Linked DNA regions of Struthio camelus. The protein of the gene in region 1 purifies or fractionates together with the protein of each later gene. This does not show direct contact. Links are inferred from orthologs where the notes say so. Each region holds a gene or a part of one and is shown in the gene's direction. Other genes may lie near its edges.

Region 1 (7,543 bases):
ACCGAGTGCCTGCACGCCTCATGCTTTCAGCTGGTGAAGTCCTTCCTGGGTAGGAAATCCTTCCCTCAAATCTAATTATGCTGAATTGGACTTAGTGCTTTTACTATACTGCAGAATGTGTTACCTCCACTGGGGCACTTTTCTGTGCAGAAATCAAGGTGACTAGAGTCTTTCCAAATGCCTAAATGCACTCTGACAAGCAAGCTTTAAAAGGTGCTCATCGTTTAAAAACATTATTTTGATTTTGCAAAGGGGAGAAGAAGAAGAAACAAGATCCTGGCCTAAGAAGCAGAGGAGAAGCTCTACAAATCAGAAGAGACCAGTGGAAATCACAGTTGCCAAAGAGAGATATTGTCTCTCATCACATACTCTTGTTTCAGACAAAATTTCACATTTGAGAAACAGCGGCATTCACTTTTCACTGTTTTGGTGACCACTGGTTTGGTTCAAACCAAGCATTTTAGTTGGAATTCAATCAATAATGATGGATACAACAATAAACCACCTTTCTATTGTGAAATGAGTTGATGATCAGAGATCTCAGGTTCTTGCATTGTTACAAATAAGAAGCCACATTAGATTATTGGCAGTCCGTAAAGGAGCCAAGGGTCTGCACAGCCATAGAGACTTGAGGGCACTTTTTTTTTCAAGTAAATGATTCTACAGGGGTGCTGTACGTATGGCATGTTTTGTGGTCAAATATCATTAGATTGGTTTGTGCGCTTCCCTTCCCCTTTAGAACTGTGCTTATTTACTGAATCAATAAATATTAATTTCCTAATCTTAATGGGTTGTACTGCCAAGTAAAAGCCCAGGGAAGCCAGTGCTGCAGGGGGTTGTTGCAGAGGCGTCCCAGGAGTCACCAAACCAAGTGACTTAAATGGAAGGAGTCCTTACTTCTTGCTAAAATCCTCCACCTGGTAAGTCCAAGCTCAGAAACTTGAAGTGCTCTTAGCAGAGAAGATGCTTGAGAAAAATGCAGGCCCTGGTCTTATTCCCACTGAAGTTAGCAGAAGTTTTGCCACTGAATTTTGATGGGGATGGGATTGGGTCCTGAGACAGCTAATGTGTACCGTGCCCGTCCTGGCAGTGTTTCACCTATCAGCAGACAGATCTGAAGCCATGGGCAGTAGCGTATCTCGCATCTTCATGTGGATCTGTGCTGCTGCTGGATTCCTTCTGCTGTCTTCGCTGAGCCTTTTGCTGACTCATCGTCTTGCTGGCTGTGAATTTGTCCCAATTAGTCATATGCAAACACTATTTAATACAGGAAGTTGTCTTAACGTAAGTTAGAGTATGAACTTAGTACACCAATAAAGGTCAAACAAAGTGACTAAGGCATTACCTACTGTAATAAGTTTCTCTTGTCAGGCACTGGCAAGACGGGAAAGAAAATATATGCAGAATATTAGAGGAGTGACTCAAAAGTTCAGTAAGGGGAGGGTGAAGGGAAGGGAACTTTTGCTTAATATCTCTCCAGAGCTGCTACAGTACAAAATGTTTAATCGTGGAATGAATTTCCAGTAACATCATCCTGAAACACTACTGGTTTTTGATGCAGAATTCTTTATTACGGGTTGGAGTAACCATGTTCGGTATGAGAGAAATGTGCCTAGTAAGGAGACCACAATGCTTACTCACAGCTCCTCAGCCAGTTCATGCTGGGAAGCTCGAAAGCCTTGAACAATTAACTTGAGCAGTGTTAGTAATTTGTATACTGAGATTTTTCTGTAGCGTCTTTTACTCTGGGATTGCTAACACTTCCAGAGCCTTCGTGCCTGTATTAATTAAAATGATCACAACCTAGCATGAGACTATTCAATGAGGAACTGTTTCAGTGTATTGCGCAGTATGTAAATTTAGATAATGGCAATAAAGGTGTACAAGTGAATCCTAAGATGTCACTATTTATGGGCACCAAAATTAATTGTTAATAAAATGAGTGGTTGGAGGATTGAAAATAAGAGCCCATTGGGTAGGACGAGCTGAGGTCTGTAGCTTTACCGCTAGGCTGTCCTGGCCTGGGATCACATCGGTGCTCGCACTTAGCTCCCTTTAGAAGATGAAGGGATAAGAGGTTAGTGGAAGGACTGCAGTGGAAGTGCAACGGAGGCTTTCGCTCCTGTGTGCGGACCCCTTCCTCCTCATGCGCGGGTTAGAGACGCTGCAAAGGCTGCTCAGCATGACCTGCCGGCCCCCTCTGCGGTGCAGCAAGCACCTCTATTAGCAGCACTTCGCTGCCGAAACTCCCCCGCTGCGTCCCTGGGGCAGGGGCTCTGCAGGGGGGTCGGGGGAGGCACCGAGCTGGGAGTGAGATTTCGGCACCTGCCAGGAGATCCGCCGTTTCACCAGGAGAATTCCTTAGGGGCCGTCACGGTGGCTTTGCGACCGTGCTAAAACAGCGCGAGGTTGCTGCGCGCGAGCGACTGCGTCCCTGCGCTTGAACCGGCTGTACCTCATTTTCAAATACGATGTGTCCACGAGCGCTTGTGCGGGGCTTCTTGGTGTTTATGCAGGAGACCTGAGTTTGAGTCTTGCTCTGATTATTTCTCTTCTTGAGGCTCCACTGAGCAGAACAACAAAAATATCAGCAGTCTACAGCCACACTGCCACGGGCTATCGTGTTGTCACTTCTCATAAGCTAAGCAAAGCTGGCCTTTGTCTGTATTTGCATGCGAAACCTTAAAGGGATAAAGGGAGTCTGTAGCACATGTGTCTCTTCTGTGTATCAGATTGCGGCAGGCAGGAGCAATTCATTTCACATAGAAACTCTCTGTGATTTCTATTAAATGTCACGGTCATTGCCTTTTCTTCAAAAGAAATTACAAAAAACCCCCACGGTTGTATGCAAAAATGACTGTTTGTTATGTGAAAGTTCAGACCCCACTGCAGAAATGTTAGCGAGATACAGTCCTGAAACGACATCGTTTTGCCCTGCAGGTGTTTCTTACAACATTATAAATGCATACAGCAGTGCAGGGTTGTTACCTGTGCCTGTCAAAGCTTATTTTTAAAGGGTATCATTACCTTTGCGCTATGAACTGAACAGCGTCGTATGGTTCACCTCTTTAGGATCACTTAACTTCTTGTTGGAGGAAGCCTACCAGACATGAAGTAATCTCCAAGCTCTAGAGTCCCTTCACTTTGAACTGCACCTTCACCTACTCCACAGAACCGGAAAAGTAGATGACTAAGGCACCATAGCTAATGTTGCTGGGGAGCCTCTAATTTTAAATGCGTGGACTCTGGCCGTGACTTTCCTCCCTCCGCGCCGGCCCAGCTGCGGCTCGCCGGTGCGCTGCCTCGGTCTGTCCTGGAGGTTACTTGCGAGTGTCTCTATCGCCGTGTTTATGTAAGGCTCCTCCATGAAGCTTTTCCTACGTTAATCTCTCTGACAGCAAAGCTGTGGCATTGTATTCCGGCCGGGGCTTCTGTGTTTGTCTCACTTTGATTGTAAGTAAGTGCCTTGTAAAAAAAACAAAACAAAAAAAAAACAAAAAACCCCCCTAAACCCTGCATCCTTTTTGGTGCCTGTTGAAGTAGCGTGCGCTTTCTCAGCTTCGGATAGAGGCATATAGGTGCTCCGCACGGCCTGTTCAGCCTCCCAGCCGGGAAGGCCGCTTGGCTTTTTTCTTCTTCTTCTCTTTTTTTTTTTTTAAGTTGTATCTGTCCCTCTGGCCCACCCCACGATGTGCTTATTCTCTTTAATTGATCTGCGTCTTTCAACGCATTCGCTTGATACGGCCTGGTCGCGTTGCTAGCAAACCTTCGGGAAACGGGAAGGAGTTAGGAACTGGACAGGTTTCTCGCTACAAAGAGGTGGATAGGGCAATAAACGTGCGACCGTGCCAGTACAACGGCAGGGACCGCAGCGTGATTTGGGGCGGTTTTGTGCGTGCGTGCGCTATAGGGCGGATTAGCGAGTCCCACCAGTGACTGCTGGTCGCGGCGCGTAGGAAACGCGGCGGAGGAGACGCAGGCCCGCCGTGCACGCCGCGCGGGGAGCTGGCGGCTGGCCCGAGCGGGCCGGTGCGGGGCACAGCGGGGGCAGCCCCGGTTTGGGGGCTCCCTGGGCGGGGGGGAAGGTCGGTAGGTAGGGCACGGCCAGAACCGCGTTGGAAACGCCAAAACACACCCCCGCGGCGACGGCGCCGGGGTGGGAGCGGGGGGGAGGAGGGGGAAGGATACGACACAACAGGCAGACTTCCCTCGTGAGGTTAAAACGAGCGGGGCCAGCGGCAGCCGGCGAGGGCGGCGCGGGGAAGAGCCCGCCTGCGCCCGGGGCCGCGGCGAGGCGGGGAGCTCGGAGGGGAGGCCGGGGCGACATGATGGAGGCCGGCGCGGCCCGCCCCGCCCCGCACACAGCCCTCCACGTGAAGCGCCGGCCCCCGCCCAGCTGTTTGCTCAGCTGACCCCGCCGGCCCAGGGGGGCCGGGCTCCGCCGCGGCTCCTCACTGGCGCAGCGCTGGGTCCGGGCCGGCCGAGCCCGCCCCCAGCCCCCGCCGCCGCCGTCTCCGTTTCGGCGAGCCCCGCGCCGCCCGCCTCCCACAGCCGCCGCCGCTGCGCCCCGCGCCGGCCGCACCTCGCCGCAGGCCCCGGAGCCTGCCCCGATGCTTTGAGCCCGCGCCGCCCCAGACCCGGCCCCTTCCCGGCCGCGCCGCCATCTCCGCGCCCCTCGGCGGCCATTGGAGCCGCCCGCCTCGCGTTGTGAGAGCGAGCGAGCGAGCGAGCGAGCGGGAGGAGAAGCCAAGGCGGCCGCCATGGAGAGCCCCGGCGGCGTCAGCGACAAGAAAAGGTAACCGGCCGCCGCCGCCTGCCCGCCCGGCGGCCAGCCCGGCCCGCGGCCCCGCGGCCCGGCTCTGCCCGTCCCCCTCTCGCCATCCTTCGCGCGGAGCCGCCTCCCCTCGCCGCTCTCCATCCTCCCCTTTCTTCTGCCCCCCGGGCACCCCCCCTCCTCCCCGCGCTGTTATCGCTCCCGCCGTCCCCCGTTTCCCCTCTTCTTCCCCCTTTTCTCTCTCTCCCCCCTCCCCCGGCCGCCCCGCGTTCCCCCTCTCCCCGTTCTTCAGCCCGTCTCCGCGGAGAGCGCCTCACTCTTTCATTCCTCCTTCTCCTCGCTGTCCACGTCGCCATTTTGTCGGCGGGGGGAGCGGCGCGGGCGGCGGGCGCCGGCCCCGGGGACGGGGGGGGGGGGTCTGGCCGCCCGAGGTTCGCCCTGGGGGCGCCTGCTGGGCCCCGGCGAGGCGCGCGGCTTTGTGCCTCCGGCTGCTCGTTGTTCGGCCGCTGCGCCGAACCCGGCGGCAGTTACGCTCGGCGCATTGTGTGCGGCTCCTCGTTCCGCTGCCGGGCCGAAGCGGGCGGGCGGGCTGGCGGCTCTCACCGACTGCAACGAAATCCCGGCCCGGCCCGGCCCGGCGCGGTCCGGCCGGCGGCTCTGCTGCGGGTCCGGGCCTTCGGGCCGGCCTGGAGGTGAAGGGGGCACGCCCGAGTCCTTGGATGTGCTAAGGACCCTCGGTGGCCCCCGCAATAAACGCATCCCGATTAGTTCTTCGGTGTTCTGGTTTGTCTTGTTTTCTGTAGGATGGTGAATTAAATGTGCTTGCATAAGTAATTATAAGAGGGCCTTAAAAAAAAAAAAGGGGGGGGGGGTGTTGGTTAAGGCCAGAGTGGCAAAAGGAAGATTTATCAATTTGGTTCAAATGCTGTGGAAAGTCTGAACGTGTTTTAATGGTCATTTGCTGACAACGACTATGGGTTTCTGTACTTGTTCCTAAAAATAAGTTGTTAGGCATTTTTTATTTTTATTTTTTAAGATGGCCACTGAAACTTTGATTTTTATTTTATGTTCTGGTTTTGTTCAGAAAGGGAAGGTTTTTTTAGAGCCTTGGAAGCTTAAGCTTTAAAAAAAAAAGGGAGTGGGGGGGCAGAAAGAGGGCTGCTGAACAATGTAAGTTGAGAAGTATGAATAATTCACCAAGGATTGTTAGCTCAAATTAGAAAGAGGGGGAAATAAAAGCCTTAAAAGCTTTTGTTGCATTGCAAAGTTACAGAGTTGGAGTATTTAGGTGATCAGATTTTTAGACTGGATGTTCCACCAATGTGCTTTGTGGAGGGATTAATTGGTGTAATCGCCATCTGCAGCAGACAGTGTTTGTTTATGTTGATATTGATACCATTTTTTGAGATTGGTTATCTCTGCTCTTGTATCAAAGGGTCATCTGAGTAGGTTAAATTAGTAAAGTATATAAATTGTGTTGGATGTGAGACTGAGTAACTGACTTCTAAAATGGATGTTTAGCTTTGTGCCGAGCTAGAACTGTGAATTCAGAGTGTTGGGCTTGTGAATACAGAGTGCTTTACCTCTAGGACTGTATCGTTGTAATGATTATTTCAAGTTATTACAGTGGGGTAGAGGGTGGAGAAGAAGCAGCTTTTAGTCTAATGAAATATATACTGTGGGGCACCTGGGGTGGTACCAATTCAGTAGCCTTTGTTTTTTCAACTGAAAGGTAATAACTTCTGAGAAGCCTTGGAGAAAATGTTGCAACAGAAATGAATGTTCTATCCTTTTCTCTGCTGGCCTATTTTAGTGGCAGGTCTAGAAAGGGGTTTTGAGACTTAGCTTTTTCTCTGTTCCTGTTTTTTTTTTTTTGTCCTTGAGCATTTTTTTTTTTTTTACTTACCGTTCTGTCCCACTTGGGTACTTTTTTGCAATTTCCTTATCCTGGATGTAATCTGCTTTCTTTAGAACGTAAGAATCAGTATGCATAGCTTATCCCTTCCTTCCTAAAGGCAGAGCTCAAGAAAGAGAATTTGGTGTTTTCTGCATCCTGAAGGGTGAGTTAAAGGTTGGGAATGTTTCTTATAAAGTAGTAAGGAATATTCTGACTACTTCTGTTGTAGAGTGTATTTTAATTGAAAATACCATATTGTATCTGTGGTACACTCATCCTGAGGCTGTGAATGTGCAGTAGAGCAAAGATGGCTAAGCAAAAAAGGAAGAATAAGAAAGAGCTCATCAGAGAACTTACTGCAAATCTCAAGCATTGCTCAAGAGCCTGACTTGGTTTAGAAGGGTTTAGGTTTGACTGTGTCCATGTTAAGAATATTTTTAGAGAAAGTACCTTTAGAAAGTTCCAGTCCTGTTTTTTGATGATAAAATTTTGGCTGACTGTAGATGTGGCGCACCTTAACTTTCAGCATGTGTTAAGATCATTTAATTCCTTTTCCCCTATCTGCGTGTATATTTGGGTAATATTCAGCTATTGATAGTTAGAGAGGTAAAGTGAAGTTTTTTTGCTTGCTAATTATGTGCTGTGGGATCCAGAAACTATGGAAATTTGACCAAATCTGTCTCTTATGACTTAATTTCACTTATTAATTATATAACAGCAACTGAAAGTGTGGACTGGTGTACTGCTTTGTTGAAACCATTCTTTTATGTAGTCCCAAGTTACGTAGATCTAACTTGATTTCTTATGGAATCTTAAGCACTCTGTATTTTTTGCAATCTGATTAGGTATTGGCGTTTTGGGGGGTATTATCC
Region 2 (7,152 bases), on another chromosome or scaffold:
AGAATATGGTGCGAATGAAAGCCATAGAACAACCTATACATCTGAAATTAGGCATGAATTTATATTCCTCGCTGAACTGAAGCTTACAAAAGAAATCACATAGGTATCGCATATCTGTCCTCAGTACATGTTGTTGAAACTCCTGACATCAAGCTAAGTATACCAGGCAGTAAAAATGTAATGTGATACAGTGACATTACAGTCCTCATTTTCAAATCCAGCAGTAACTGCAAGGAGCGTCTTAGAAAAACAGGACCAGCTTTACCATCTATCAGTGGCTCCCACAATTATGCCAAATAAAAAATCCTATCCCCCCAGTAGGCAAAAGGCTAAGGCATTTTTTCTGCATCATACTAGCAATCATTCGCACTTTTGTCATCCAAGGAAAGCAGCTGATCGTTAAGAGTTTGCTCTTTGTTACAGAAGTCCCACTCCCACATAAATGCTGTCATCTTTAAGACCACAATAGTCAACAAGGAACTTACTCATGATAAATAAGATGCTATGGATATTTGTTAGAGATTGAATCCTACAAGTACTGAGTATATTTGCTTTTCATGGAATTTAAGAGGAATCAGATAACACCTGATCACAGCCAGTACAATCCTTTCTAAGGAAAGCTGGAGGATTTGTTGAAAAAGGGAGAGGAACACAGATTTATGTTGTTCCTTGGAGAACTACGAAGAGAAGACAGGCTTTGGAAACTGCCCAAAAATTGGCCTTGTAGGGAGAATACTGCCAAAACCAAGCTTCTGTTATCAGGCTAGGCAAGAGGAGAGTATTACTGTGCTAATGCAGGAGTGCATTGTTTTTAAGAATCACAAACATATCTTTAACGGATAATCACCACATTCAGATAGCTGAAGCATGTGGGTTTTGCTGGACAAACTCCACCCCTCATGTGAATGAAAAGTGCTTGCACCCACTCACTCCAGGTACAGTTTCACCCTTTGGAGTCTTCCCAAGGACTCCTCTCGGAAGGGCAGAAACGTATAGAGATTCCTTTCATGGCTGCCTCATCACTGCCCACATTGTAGCTAGGGACAGTCTTTAACAGTTGTGATATCAACGATATTTCTGGTGCAAAATAATATATTTTACATCATGCTAGATTATATGCACTATACTAGCCTTTTAGTCCTACACCAGTCGCTAATCTGACTCTGTGTAATTTATTAGGAACAGATTTGCTTGTTACTGTATCTACCATTTGATTTCATTTCACACTTCACTAAGCTGGCACAATGGAAACAAGGAATCACTCTTCCTTTCACTTCTGCAGATTGTCTAGTCATGTTACAGTCCATTTCTAAGGTACCGGCAAGAGATCAGAATATTATCAGAAGTAAGGGATATTCAAGACACTAGTGTTTATAAATAAAGCTCATGTCCTGAAGTAAACGTTCCAGCTGACACAAAACACGACATTGCTGCACACCAACTGCCTAGAACATATCACCCATTTTCTCCTGCTCCCGTTAGTTAAAGCCTAATTCAGTGTCGCTATCCTAATATTTAAAACCTTTCAATGGAGTTCCTGCCTGAACGATCACTCTTTAAGAACAAGATCTATTGTGACCATGTTCCATTTCACTAAAACAACAAAGCATGAGGATATGTAAAAGCATGGGAGATGGGACTCTCCCTAGCCTTTCAACTGCCCCATTTTTTGCCCTAGAGCTGAAAGCCCAAAGACTTGCTACTTTCAGGATTAGTGCTTTCATCTATGCCATTATCTATGCCATTCCATCTACACTCGAAGCTCCCCCACGGCCTACAACAAACAATGGCTCAAGTATTAAACATAAATTTTATTTCCTCAGATAAGTTTTCAGTAAATTAAGCCCAAAGGCTGAATTAAAAAAAAAAAAAACACACAAGCACTTGTGGGTGGAAGCCCCGTTTGTAAAATTCACTGGTTTCAGTGGTGTTCTAGCCTTGCCAGATTTTGTTTTGTGATATTCTTTGGAAAAGTACAGCATTACAAGTACATAACTTAGACTATTTAATTACCATATACTCATACATTGCATTATTTCAACTTCCTCAAGACTTTATGCTCGTCCTCTTGTCTACACCACCTTTATGCCTTATCTTAAGACTCTGTCTCACGATACCAGGTTGAAGTGTTTCATTGTCCTCTTCAAGAGCTTTCATTCTCTTCCTGCATCACTGGGTATATCTCTTAGATCCTGGTTAGTCAAATACCATTTGCGGTTTTCCTAGAGAAACACACATATCTTATTCCAGTAGGGCCTGCCCTTACTGAATCTAGAGCTCCTGTTTCCTCAGGCAGCTGAGAATCCTCCTGCCGTTCTCCTCGCTGTCTCCCAGTGTCAGTCTCTTCTTTCCCATCTCTTAACCATGGTTTCTGTGCCAAGACAACCTTTGTGTCTGTTTCTGATCAATACCCTCCAACCTTCAATTCAACTTCCAGCTGATTTTATATCTCCATCCAGTCTCAGATTCACCAGGTTTCATGTCCACTCTTGTCTTCTTCCCCTTCCCATCTACCCTATCGTGTGTTTTCTCCTGCACTTGCATCTGGCAGCTTCTTTCTCCTGCCTTCTTCTTTCTGTCTTGCACTTAGGCATTAGTGCAAATGCAGCAAAGCCTCCCAGTTCTTGCTGCTAATGCCAAACTCCACCCTCCTTAACAGAAGCAATTACTGGAAAGATTTCTAGCCAGTCATTTAGTAGGCACGGTACATGTGAATTCTGCTCACACACAAGAAGAGCTAGGAAGGGGCAGAGAATGGGCCTACTTCTGCAAAGGTGTGGTATAATCTCTGATTAGCCCTGGGTAATGTGAAATGATGGATAACAGAATCACAGAGATTAGAGCGGGCAGGGACATTGGGAGACTATCTAAGTCCACCTCTGCCCTACAACAGAATAATTTCCTGAAGGAAGTTTGTCTAACCTGTTTTTTAAAAAAACACAATCTGGCATGCGAATCTAGTGCAAAGCTCTACTAGTCCTTCCCCACTATCTAACGTAAATATTTGTTGTCATTTTAGCCCATTTCTCTCCCATCCTATTTATTGTAAACATGGAAAATAGTTTATTCCTTTATTTTTTTTCCAGTGGAAGTCTCTATATTAAAAGTATAATTTTTTCTTAGTGTATCTTCTCTCAGCTTTTTCTTCTTAACCTAAAAAGAGCCCAGTTAACTTCAGAACGGCTGTATGAGGTCAAAGTAAATGCCTCATAACCTGTTTCTGCAGTAGCCAATAGTGGACATGCAGGGAAGACTATAAGAAGAGAGTAAATATATAGCGCTACTTCTTTGTTACACAATGCCAGCTTTGAACAATAGGCCGGTCAGGGGCGTTCTGAGCCAGAGATGGCATTTCTGTGTTTAAAAAGTCTTTCAAGCTTTCCTCTTATAACGTATTTCTGTGCCCCTAACTCTTGCTGGATTCTCTCTTGTTCAACAATGGTGAAAGATGACGAAATCTGAGAGGAGCTCGGCCACTGAAATCTTCAAAGCCCCTTCTGAGCATGTTCACACCAGAAATCTTCAGCACTGTGAAGTCTGCAGCGGACGGTCAGAGGAACAGGAAACACCGCGTCTCTGGCTCAGAGGGCCCCTCCTTGCCAAGTCCCTGTTGCACAACATGGAAATGCTAGAGTTCACCCAAGGAAAGAAAGGTCAGCAGATTTTTGTTTATTGGATGCAAAACTTGTTTTCCCTCAGCCTTACTCATGGAAAAGGTTCAAATATGATGAGAAGGAGAGAAGGGATGGAGAAATAGAAGAAGAGCAGGGAAAAAAAAGAGAGAGAAAAGGAGAAAAAAGAAAAAAAGGAGATTTAGCCAAGAGCAGGCCTTTTTCAAGGAAAACCCGAGTCCAAGCTGACACAAATTAAAGAGTAGAGCTATACGAAGTGGAAATAGGGTCTTACAGGGGGATCGGCCGGGCACCGCGCTGCCACCCGGCGTGTGGCAGGAAAATGGCCCCCAGCCCCTGAGGCAACACCCGGACCCAAACCCCCCCCCCCCCCCGCCGCCCGCCCGAGGAGGCGCGGCGCGCGCCTCGCCCGAGAGCCATGGAATCGAGCCGGGCGGGCGCGGCGATTGGCGGAGCGCAAACAGCCCCGCCCATCCCCTCACATGACCGACGGCGACGCTTTTGCCGCGCCCGCCCGCTTCTAGGCATCCCCCCCTCCCCGCCGCTCTCCCCTCGCCGCCTCACGCAACCCCTCCGCCTGCCGCCGCCGGGAGCATGGAGCCGCGCTGGTCGCCGCGGGGGCCGCTCCGCCTGCCGCGCTGCTCCGCCTGCCTCCTGCTGCTGCTCGGCACCGCCGGTGAGGGGGCGCGCCGAGGCCTGCGGGCGCGGGGCCTGCGGGCGGGCGCGGCTGAGCTGAGCTGAGCTGAGGGGGCGACGGGCCCGCGCGCCAGGGCCGTTGGGCCGCGCGCGCGCGCGGGCGGGGGGCGGTTGTTGTCCCCGCGGCGGCTGGCGCGTGCCCCCTCCTCCCCCCCCACCCCCCGCGTCGGGCACGTGACGCGGCCTCGGGCAACGGCCGAGCGCGCGGGGGCGCCTGGGGCTGCCCGCGGCCCCTCCCCGGCGGCGGCGACGTTCGCCCCCTCCCCCCCCCCCCTCCGGCCGCCGCCGCCGCCCGGGGCTGCTCTGCCGGCTGCGCCGTCACCCGCAGAGGGAGAGTCGGGGCTGGCGCTTCTCTGCGGCGCAGCGAAGGCCCCGCTGCTCGCTGTGGGTGAGCAGCCGGCGGCGAGCGCCCGGGCCCCGGCGGCCTTGGCGGGCGAGGGCGCAGGCGAGGCCGCCGACCGGCTCCCTGCGCTCGGCGCTGCCGCTGTCAGCCCGCAGGCCGCTGCCGCCTTCCTGAGCCCTCCCGGTCGGCTCCCAGCGGCAACCGAGGCGCGTTTGGAGCTGGGGAGACCAACGGTCATACTCTCACGCGATATAGAGCGTGTTGGAATAACTCTTGTTCCCCTTAAAAAAGAAAACTCAAGTAGGAGTCAAGCAAGTGCTAGTAACGCGTTTTTATCTCTGAAGAGATGAGTTATATATGTTTATGTATTTAAGTGAGGTTTGGGATGAATTCAGGGGGTTCTCCCTTATAAAGCGTTCTCAAAGCGTGACGAGCACTTTGCAGAGTAACGTTGTCCTTTCAGGTCATGGCTTTGAGAATGGACTTGTCTGCCCCTCAGTTCACTCTGTATTTTTGTTAATACTCTCTTTGTTCCATTATAAAGCCTTATACTTAAATGCCAACTTTTGCCACTGTTTGCTGTTGCATTAAGTAGCAGTATTATACCATAGCACTCCTTTTGCATTTGTAGATGCCTTTGGTATAGTAAGGGTGAGAAAGTAGTGGGTTTTTTTTTTTTTAACAAAAAAAAAACCACACACACAAACCTTGTGTACCTTTATATCCAAAGACGCTCCTTCTATAAAGAGGTAGACTGACTAGAGGTTGCAAAAAGCCAGGCTAATCTGCTTCTGATAAATGCAATCCCTAATTTTATTAATCATGTTTTACTGTCTGCAGCACTGTTACGTGAGCAAAGCATGCAAGGAGGCTGTCTGATCTTCAGGTTTCATGAAGAGAATGCCCCTGTCCTGCAAATTCTATATTACAAATTTAGCAGTTAACTGAACGTAGTCCTCTGCTATGCTAGCACTTCCTGCCAACTGTGTTAGATGCTTGTCACGTTTGTGTCTGTGGCTTTTGAGGACATCTTCTAACTAGTTACTTAAAAGTAGATCAGATCTCTTATAGGGAAGGTGCATCTTTTGGCAGCTGGAATAAAGCTGTACTGGCAAAAATTACAGTTACTCACTGTTAAGCAGGTCAGGGCGTGTAAGGTGCTGTATGTCTGTTGGGATTATCTGTGTTGGTCAAGTCTACTGTATGCGCTTGCTAACTGTAGCATTTCTTCAGTCTTTACTGCTGCCATCTACCACCACCTGTGCTGAAGTATCCCTTTTGGAGAAGTTATTGCAAGCTACTTTCTCTGTAAGGAAAACAGTCTGAGTAGTAGTTAACTTGATACTTCTTCTTAGGATGTTTTCAGTTACTCATAGTAAATAAGCTTTCTTCCTTTTGCTCTCACCTACTAATTAATAGCAAAAATAGTTTCAGAGCTCAATTTATGTCTTTTTTCATATCTTTTTTTTTAATGAGGGTGGAAGGGACTTTCCTAATATGTAAAACAGCATTGAGAAGCCAAGAAATTGCAGTATTACAAAACAAGTTAGTAAAGTTGCTCCTGCTAGTTTTATACTGCTTTTCAAATTGTGGTAAAATAATTACTTCTAAATATACTTATCTTTTGGCTCAGTCAATAGTCTTTTAACATGCCGTGTGACATGGTGTGTTTATATTGAAGTACCATGGCTATGCTGGCTAGGTTGCAGTGGTTTCCAGAAACTTAAGGCCTGGCCCAGTTTCTTCTGAAATGAGAATGGATGGTAATACAGAACTGGTACACAGGTGCAGTAATAAATAACTCTTTAACTAAAAAATGAGCTTTTATTTAATGTTGCTGGAGCTCTAAGCTACTTCTTGGCAGTAAGTTTGTGTGCTTTGCAGTAGTAAATTGCAAAGCTGGTATCTTCTAGTGCACCATAGAACTCTGTACAAACAAAAATTCTCCTAAAAAGGCATAACAAACCGGTGGTTTGTGAATGTGCAAGCAATCTTTAGTGTTTACTGCCTTACTTTGTGGGTAGATGTACTACTTTTGTCTCTAATTCTGCTAGCTGAGGGATTTCCCTTTGTAGGTATTGCCTTACGGGGCGTTACAGCCACTGTGGAAGTTTTAACAGAATCTTCTGCTGCCTAGAAATTAATGTAAACAGGGGTCTTCAGCTACATAGCTGTTCTTGATATATGCTCCTGTATTCTTTTTTTCCTACTATTCAGAAATCTCATGAGTCCTGGAGCGTTTAGTAATTCTTATCACTGTCTTTTCCACTTGTTCACTGTCAGCCTGAAGGGATGAAGTGAGCAGAATTTCTCTCTGCCCAGAGTCAGAATTTTATTCAGTGATTAGATGATGGAGGTGAGTAAATAATTCAAAACCTTGAGAAGCAGCATGCCCTATGGAGGGTGTAAATAACATTCAGAACAATCTTTTGCTTTACTGGATTGTATTCTCCTTTTCTTCAGTCACTTCTCTAGTTTAAG

Evidence for each region. The genes of interacting proteins can lie anywhere in the genome.
Region 2: the proteins of HIF1A (region 1) and LAMP2 purify together in Homo sapiens (affinity purification with western blotting; 3 studies listed by BioGRID). This does not show direct contact. The link is inferred for Struthio camelus from reciprocal best matches to the Homo sapiens genes HIF1A and LAMP2.

The regions. Positions count from the first base shown.
Region 1 is NC_090946.1:76,628,073-76,635,615, reverse strand, and holds the start of HIF1A (hypoxia-inducible factor 1-alpha), read left to right. Parts: upstream 1-4,532; 5' UTR 4,533-4,760; coding exon 4,761-4,795; intron 4,796-5,091; exon of another isoform or gene 5,092-5,391; intron 5,392-6,484; exon of another isoform or gene 6,485-6,834; intron 6,835-7,543.
Region 2 is NC_090952.1:11,884,195-11,891,346, forward strand, and holds the start of LAMP2 (lysosome-associated membrane glycoprotein 2), read left to right. Parts: upstream 1-4,113; 5' UTR 4,114-4,226; coding exon 4,227-4,308; intron 4,309-7,152. UniProt on the Homo sapiens protein: Lysosomal membrane glycoprotein which plays an important role in lysosome biogenesis, lysosomal pH regulation and autophagy.